2 linked regions of the Chlamydomonas reinhardtii genome follow. The main gene of each other region encodes a partner of the protein of the gene in region 2 in a complex. Links are inferred from orthologs where the notes say so. Each region holds a gene or a part of one and is shown on either strand. Other genes may lie near its edges.

What was found. Proteins that work in one complex are often made in the same cells at the same time.
Region 1: CHLRE_12g496450v5 (region 2) and CHLRE_06g284500v5 share a complex: the UniProt entries of both Arabidopsis thaliana proteins name them as parts of the RNA exosome complex. The link is inferred for Chlamydomonas reinhardtii from reciprocal best matches to the Arabidopsis thaliana genes RRP4 and RRP41.

What each region holds. Positions count from the first base shown.
Region 1 is NC_057009.1:5,460,121-5,464,378, reverse strand, and holds the start of CHLRE_06g284500v5 (uncharacterized protein), read right to left. Parts: upstream 2,902-4,258; 5' UTR 2,601-2,901; coding exon 2,469-2,600; intron 2,097-2,468; coding exon 1,991-2,096; intron 1,629-1,990; coding exon 1,501-1,628; intron 1,006-1,500; coding exon 853-1,005; intron 459-852; coding exon 357-458; intron 1-356. Other genes in the region: CHLRE_06g284450v5 (uncharacterized protein), read left to right, coding at 3,108-3,591, 3,815-4,090. UniProt on the Arabidopsis thaliana protein: Non-catalytic component of the RNA exosome complex which has 3'->5' exoribonuclease activity and participates in a multitude of cellular RNA processing, maturation and degradation events.
Region 2 is NC_057015.1:3,431,784-3,435,739, forward strand, and holds CHLRE_12g496450v5 (uncharacterized protein), read right to left. Parts: upstream 2,697-3,956; 5' UTR 2,420-2,696; coding exon 1,433-2,419; 3' UTR 640-1,432; downstream 1-639. UniProt on the Arabidopsis thaliana protein: Non-catalytic component of the RNA exosome complex which has 3'->5' exoribonuclease activity and participates in a multitude of cellular RNA processing, maturation and degradation events.

The DNA.
Region 1 (4,258 bases), on a different chromosome or scaffold from region 2:
CGGGCGGGTGCAGCGCACAGGCGGGGGGGGGGGGTAGCCATCCATGGGATGGTGTGTATCAAATATGAAGTGAAGTGCCGACGGCCAGAGGTACAGCGGGCACACGCGACGCATTCCATACCGTGGTGGGGGGGATGGCTGTCAGAGGGCAGCCGCCCTTGCGCCCACGCTCTCTGCATCGTCTGCGTGCCCCTGCCTCGCCACCAGCCCCCGCACTGCTGCTTGTGGCACCATCATGAGCCCACCCCTCGCTTACCCTCCCTGTCTGCGCCCCAGCCTTCCTGTCCCGGCCTTCCTGCCCCTCCCCCCGTCCTGTCCTGGCCCCCTTCTCTTCCTCCTCCCCGCCCCCCACCCACCTGGAATGTGTCCACGGGCAGCCGGTTGTCCATCTGCACCAGGTATAGCGAGTCCAGCCGCGGAGCCAGAGCCACGCACAGGTCGGGGCCGCCGCCAGAGTCCTGTGCGCGAGGGAAGGAAGCCCGCAAGACTATGTATGTGCATGTGTGTATGAGAATGAGAGCGCGAGAGCACAAATGAGGGGCAACTGCAAAGAACATGTGCGCACGAGAGGGGTAGCGGGGGGCGGTGCAAAGATGGGCAACAGTTGCACAGTGGACAGGCCCTCCTTTTCAAGGACGGCTAATACCCCGTCAGAGAAGGTGCGCGTACAGGGGAACAGGGTAAGCCCACAGGGTCGCCGACAATGCCCACACCGCCAGTCTCTTCCCGCAGCCCCCACCTCCTCCGCAAGGGTGGGCTGGTCACGAGCCTCTGGGCCTCAATTTCTTCCGCAATGGTTTTGGACTACCGGGAACTGTCAAACAAACACCTTCTCCCCTTTCCCTCCCGCACCTCTGTGTAGTTCAGGTCCAGCAGCGCTGTGCCGTCCAGGTACCCCGCCGCACAGCCCGCCACCAGGTCCCGCAGCGGCACACCCGCCGCCGCCAGCGCCAGCACAGCCGCGTTGATGGCGGCGCAGCGAGTGCCGCCGTCCGCCTGGAGCACCTGATAAATGGCGCCCATGCAAGACGGAGTGTTGGATCTCTTTCATGTCGCAGATGCGAAGTGCAGAGGGGAATGCTGGGCGCCGCGGCGTGTGCAATGTTGATGGCTGGCACATGAGGCATGCATGCGTGTATGTGTGTGTGCACGCAGACGAGTTCGGGGGTCGCCCTGGCACCGCTGACTTCCGCCTGGTTTCCACGTCAGCGCACATTCGAAAACCCGGCTACCTTCATATTGGCCCTGCTACGACGCGCCTGCTCGCTGGCCTTGCCTCGAGCCATTTGCACGTGCTGCGAGTTCTGGCCGCTGCTGTTCGGGCATGCTCGCTAGGTGGCTGACTGGACTCCGACAGCACGCACGCACGCACGCACGCATGCACGCACGCACGCACGCACGCATGCGCGCATATGCCTGCCTCGCCTCTGACTCCCCATCTCGTCGCACGGCTCGGGCATGTGCCCTCCCCTGCCTGCCTGCCTGTCCTGCATCGCCCACCTGCACGTACACGTCTATCTGGCTGCGCGGCAGCAGCTCCGTGATGACCGCCTGCTCCAGCGTGTTGCGGATCACCATGCTCAGCTCAGTAGAGCGCCGGTCGCCCTTGCCGCGACGCCGCCGTTCGCCTGCCCGGCACGCGAACGTGGGGAGGCGGGGGCGCAGTGCGTCCAGGCGTGGCGGGTTGAGGAGCGGCGGGGTGGGAGCATGGGAGCGGGGGGAGCAGGAGCTGGACTGCTGAGCTGCAGGACCTAGCTCTCATGCCCAGCGCTCCGTGCCCTGGCGGCGGAGCCGCTTTGGGTCCTCACACTTCATTCCGGCTCTGGCATGCGCCATGTGCACGGCCAAATAACCCCTCCTCACCCGCCCCGGGCCTCCTGACAAGCTTCGGGGCTTGTTTTGTGCCCTATGGCATTGACCAAGACCATCCTCCAGCCCTCTCTCTCCAGCCCTCCCTGCAGCCCTCTCCCCAGCCCTGTCGCGCCCTCACCCGTGCTGAAGGCCGCCATGGAGTACTCGCACACCACCAGCGCGCCCTCCTCCCGCAGCTCGGAGCGCCGGGTCACCGCGTGCGGCCCAAACACGGCTGCCAGCACCTGGAGCGGCCCCGGGGTCGTGAGGGCGTGTGGTCAGGTGGGGTTGGAGCCGACACGGGGCGGCTGGTTTACCGGGCTACCCCAAAGGGCCTAGGCACATACTGGAAGCATTGTGTGGGAACAGTGTGTGGAAACAGACACACAGTCATGGCCGGGCGAGCGCTTGTATGAAGCCCGGGTGCCACGTACTTGAGGGCATAGCTGTATGCGACATGAGCCTCGAGCGACTGGGCCGTGGGTGAATCCATGAATGTGGTGGCTGCAGCTAGCCTGCCACCCAAGCCTTCCCCCTGCCCCCGCTCCCGCACCTCCCCTGCCTGGGCTACCGCCCCCCTTGAACTCTACCCCCTCCCCCCCCCCCCACACACACACCTTGGTGTTGCCCATCTCGAATATGGCCGAGCCATCCGCGTTTGACAGCACGTCTAGCTGGCAGTTTATTCGCCGCAGCTCACGCGGCCGCCGGCCGTCCAGCCGCAGCCCCTCTGGCGAGACAAACTCCATGCTGCTTATGTGTTCGCCTCAGTCACCACTTCGTTGAGTGTAAAGCGTGTTGAATTTCGGAAGGCTGACGCTGGATATGTCAGGGGGCGAGCAGGGCTGCCGCCGATGTGGCCACGGCGTCAAGGCCCGGCAGAATTGAATAACACTAATGAATCGCGTTTTTGTATTTATATTGTTAGCAATTATATGGAGCTGGAAACCCCAAAGAAATGAAGGAGTGTAGAGGATTTTGCCTTGAAAGTCTGCTCGACAGTAACAAAAGCTTCCAGTCTGCAATAGAATAAAGTGAGTAGGGGTAATGTTAGCGCGTAATGCATGCACGGGCGAAACACAGCTCCGGCTTTGGGCTGGCGGGGGGACTCATCCCGCAAAACTTTGTCGAGGCGGGACTGGCTGGAGGGGGCATTAACAATTGTTCGAATACTGTATTACTTTTCCCTTGCCTTTCAGAGCTTCTACCAACGAAGAGTTGAAGTCCGTTGCCTCAAATTCTCTCTTCGGGGGAGGATGTTACCCCCAAGCTCCTCCCACGACCCTCAAAATGACGAGAACATACTAGCGAAGCCTCTGGTCAACGGGGAAGGCCCGCCAGCGGAGGACTCAGATGGCACAACAACGCTTTCAAGTCAGCCCGGCGCTCCCGAGAAGCCCAGCGTCGTCGACGTGTCCAGCGTTATTACGCAGGTCACGTCCGTCACAGCGCACAGGCCGGTGGCGCCCTTCCGCGTAGCCCAGCAACCACAGCCCAAAAGCTGGCGAAGGCGGTTCCGGTCGCTCCTCTGCTGCTTCGCACCGCAGAGCCAGGGGTACTTCCGGCATGCACAAGACGGAGAGTATAGCGGCGGTCGCTTTGTTCCGCCACAGCCCCCCAAGGTGCACCGGGAGCAGCTCATAGGGCCGAAACGGTCCGACGACCACAGCAAGAAGACCCTGGTGCTGGACCTCGACGAGACGCTGGTGCACTCCTCCTTCAAGCCTATCCCCAACCCGGGTGGGTCTCGTCGGGCAGGAACGAGAGAGCACTCGCTCCATCTCCTCCATGTCGCCGGCTGGTTGGGCTTCCGAATTGCATCCTTAAGAATGCTATGGTCGCCAGCAATCCATGGACATAGATCCTTGTTGTGTCGGGCGCGCGGCTGCTGTTCAGTGCACGCTTTAGTGAGCATCTCGGTCACGCATGCGCTGACATTTCCTGGCGGTCCGCGCTGCCTCAGACTATATCCTGCCGGTGGAGGTGGACGGCAAGCTAGTGGACGTGTACGTACTAAAGCGGCCGTGGTGCGACCACTTCATGGAGAGCGTCGGCGCGCGCTTCGAGGTGGTGGTGTTCACGGCCAGCCTCGCTAAGTACGCGGACCCGCTTTTAGACCTCCTCGACAAGCAGCAGCTCGTGCGGTGGCGGCTATTCCGGGAATCGTGTTTCCCCTACGAGGGCAACTACGTCAAGGACCTGAGCTGCCTGGGGCGAGACCTGTCGCAAACAATCATCGGTGAGCGCCGTTAGCGGCGAGCACACATGGCGCGTGCTGCCTCTGTGCAGAGGGGCAGCGGCAGGCGGGGCGCTATGCGGCGGCAGGGGGCCACCGGCTGTGCTATGGTGTGGTTTCCGTGGGGGTGGGACACACCGCTTGATGCACCGCCAACGGAGTAGGCTCTCT
Region 2 (3,956 bases):
GTTTGTCCGCTGCTCGTTGCATGCCGCAAGTGTAAACCTGGCCTGAATTTTGGAGCCTGATGGAATGTCTTTTGGGTTGAGATGTCAGCGCGTGTGTGGAACCGTAGGTAGAGGAGGTGAGGACGACGACTGGGTCACCAAAGCTGAGTGAGCCTGTGTGCCTTGCTGAGTTGAGATACTGAAGTGGCTTGCAGCGTGTTGGGGGCCCTAAACCGTCGGGCATGAGCCACGTGCAAGGAGGTAGCGATTGATTGCGGCGGCTGGTGCGAGCACGCCACGCCGTCCAGGCACCGTGCTTCTCCGTGCCTGACCCGAGGCTGCGGCCGCTTCCGCTGGTGGCCTGTGCCGCAGGTTTCAATCGGCCCGTACATACACGTGTGTGCACTAGGGGCTCATGACTTAACTTCATCTTATGCATTGCTTGACGACCTTTGACGAGTACGGTGCCTAGTGTACTACCGTATACAGCCGCCCTAGGACTTTGCCTAGGCTAGGTACGTTGCGCACACGCGGCATGCGGTCCTTTCACTTCTTTGCAAGTTCGCGGGTCGAGGTGACAAAGCTGCTTGCTGCGTCAGGCACCGTGATGGATTATGGGTAGGCATGCGCAATGCCGCACAGCCGCAGTCTGACATGTTTAACATGGCTCGCTTACAACACCACCACTGCGCTCCATCGCCACAGCGTGCACAGCACGGCCCCTTCGCGTGCCCTCCGCGGCTAGTTGGCTTGGCCAGCTCCACATGCTAATCCAGCGCCAAGCCCAATGCGCACTGTCCTATGTCCGAGAATGTCCAGCCCCCAGCGCACCCTTCATCCAGTACGTTGTTCACAGACCTCTGCAGCAGGTGCTTAGGGCAATGTGCACAGACTTGCCTGCTCACTCATCCTTTCTGTCCGTCAGGAGGCACGAGACCGCATATTCTAATACATCACAAGTCTCGAGCAGCACACGCTTGCCGCAAGGCCAAGCGCCGGTCATGTCTACCACACCATACCGAGCGCACTCCCCCTGCGCCCAAAGCATCAGACACACGCTTGCTAATGGATGGGCAGCAACGACCGCCACCATCCTGCTTTCCCTGTTCCTCCTGCTGCCAGCAGACGCACGGCACTGCCTTCCCTGTTGGGAATGGTCAGTAACAGCACTCCGGTATGTGCAGTCACACACCCCAGCGCCCTCAGCTTAAGCTTTCTCTCCAGCCCTGTCTCCTCCCGCAACGGCGCTCTCGAACTGTACGAGCTGGGCCCCACCAGCATTGACGCATGAGCTTGAATGGAAATGCGATCGCCGCAGCCATGCGCAGTTAATCTTTTGGGTTCCCGCGTGCTTCTTCCACCCTGGCGTGTACCGCTGCCTCCAGCTGCCGCCCCCCCCCTGCCCCTCCTCTCGCCGTCCCTCCCCACTCCGCCCCACTGCCCAGCCCGGCAGCTACTCCTGCATTGCGCTGCTGCGCCGCTGCGCCTCCTGTCCCACCACCGCCTCCAGGAAGCCCGGCTCCATCATGTCTGCCAGCGCCACCTCGCCCTCCACTGCCGCCTCGTAGGTGGCCATGATGGACGCGGGGTACACCGGCATGTATAGCCGTGTTAGCACACGGATTGCGTTCGCCATGCGGCATACCACCTCCAGCTGCATCCGGCTGGGCGGCGGCGGCGGCGCAGCCGCCGCCGCCTCGTCCTCGTCGGCGCCGGCGGAGCCGGCGCCGCCGCCTGCGGCGGCGTTCGCCGCCGCTAGGCGGTCCGGCCGCAGCGGCGCCACCCATACCAGGCCGTTGCAGCCGATGATGAGCTCCACGCCCAGAGCCTCGAGCGTGTGGAAGTGCTGCTTCTGGCGCTTTATGAGGTTTGGCGGCACCTCCAGCAGCTGCCCGCACACCAGCTTGCCGTACTTGGCGCTGCGCGTGTGCAGCGCCACGCTGCCGTCCGCGTGCACGGACTGCACCTCGGCACTGATGAGCTCGCCCTCGCGGAAGAAGGACCGCATGTTTAGTTCATCCTCGGCGTTGCGGCGGCGCTGGATGCCGCCGGGCAGATGCACGGCGGATAGAAGCAGCTTGGCTTCCTGGCGCGACTTGAGGTCCACCCGCCAGGCCTTGCCCGCCAGATCTGCCACGCGGCCCACCACGACGTCACCCTGCTCCGCGTTGTAGCGGCTGTTGAGTGTCTTGACGTAGATGAGCTTGTTCACGCGCTCCACAACGCCGCACACGGTCGCCACGAGCTTTCCGTCAACGACCTGCGTGCCGTGGCCGCGCAGGAAGCCCTCCTGCCCCTCCGTGCTGATCTCGTCGCCCACACACACGAAAGTCGTATTAGACGGAGCATCGTGGACGTTCAGAACGCGCTCAATTAGCGCGACGTCGGCGCCGGGCACCAGCGCGCGAACCTTGACGGCGACGGCCCCGGCGGCCGCCATGGCTCACCTCCGAGCGCTAAGTTGCTTTCAACGTCTTATGTGTAGCAGTAAAACAATGCGTGTGCTCAATTAGACGTATGCGGTCGAGACAGTTGTGTACTTATGCCGCGCAACGTTTAGCTATCGCGTTGAACGAGAACAATATGTATAACGATAAAATGCTATCCTTGCGAGATCATTTTGTCGCTTCTTGCTGAAAAGGTTCAGTGTCTTGATTCTTGAAGACTCGTCTTGCTATCTCGCGTCTAATTCGCTGTTTGTCAGTGAATGTCGTGAGTGCCGGTATATAGCATTCGACTAGTTAGTGCTTCCAGCGGATTGTACTCCATGCAGCTGTGTTTTGGCGGCACGGCTGTTGGCTCGCCCCAACAGGAGGGCGCATGAGGGCCGCGTTTGCCTTTGAAATGGTATTCCGGTCTACAACACCGACATTATGTTACAGTTGTGCGACTCTTAAATTAGGGGCCTCTTTTTGTGCGCCTGCACGGATGTTATACCGACGTGCACGTCAGCTTGGGCCCGCTGCAAGGGCTGGGAACAACACAGGGTGCCTTTGCGCAGGGCACACCCGCGCAGCACACGACGCTTTGACCACACCTTCACGCGCATGCTGCCAAGATTAACACTTCATCCGGGTCACCGCATCCTTCTTCCGCCTCGTGGCTCGCTTTCCGTCCCAGCCTGTGATTCTTCGCCCAGTTGTCTGTCCCCGCACCCGCTGGTGCAACAGCCTTGGGAGCCCACGTCTCATCACTCTTCCGGAGTGGCAAACACCGTCACCGATTGCCACCCGCCAGACAAACCGCCCGGGCCATCGGCAATGCGCGCCAACCTTGACGGCACCAACCTTGACGGCACCAACCTTGACGGCGCCGACCTTGACGGCTAGACCTCATCCGCCACGTCATGCCGCCCTCCGCCCTCCCCTATCCAACCAGTGCAAAACCTATGTATATGCGATAGCCCAAACAAACTTTTTGGGAACTACAACTCAAAAATATTGGAGGCCTGCGGAGGCCCACCCTCTACTTAATAGCTACTTCCCCGCTCCGTCTCCCAGCATGCCAGCAAGCGCAGCAGCGCGCGCCGTTGCGTATGGAACATGCCGCGCAAGCCGCATGCTCCATGTAGCACCAGCTTATACACACCGCTACCGTGCCTGCATGGGGGTCCGCAAGCTCTCGCTGCGCTGCCGCGGCAAGGCCCCACCGGGTGAACACCAGGGCCCCCCGGCCACACACGTACCCAGGACTCCGCTCAAAACAATAGGCATTTGAGATGCAGGGCGCAAGTGGTCGGCCCCTGTAGGCATCTCCTCAAGATTTTCGGGTAGAATATGGCTTCAAACGTAACGGCATCTCGAACGAACTACACTGTCAATTTCACGACCAGACTCCAGACATTGAACGGACCTTGACCCAGACAAACTCGTCTCTCTCACTCCCGCCGTGCATGGCGCCAACACTATCAAATGTTTGGCGCCATCGCCCCTGTAGGCATATTCCTGTCGGGTTTATGCGCTCTCCATCGCTCTGCT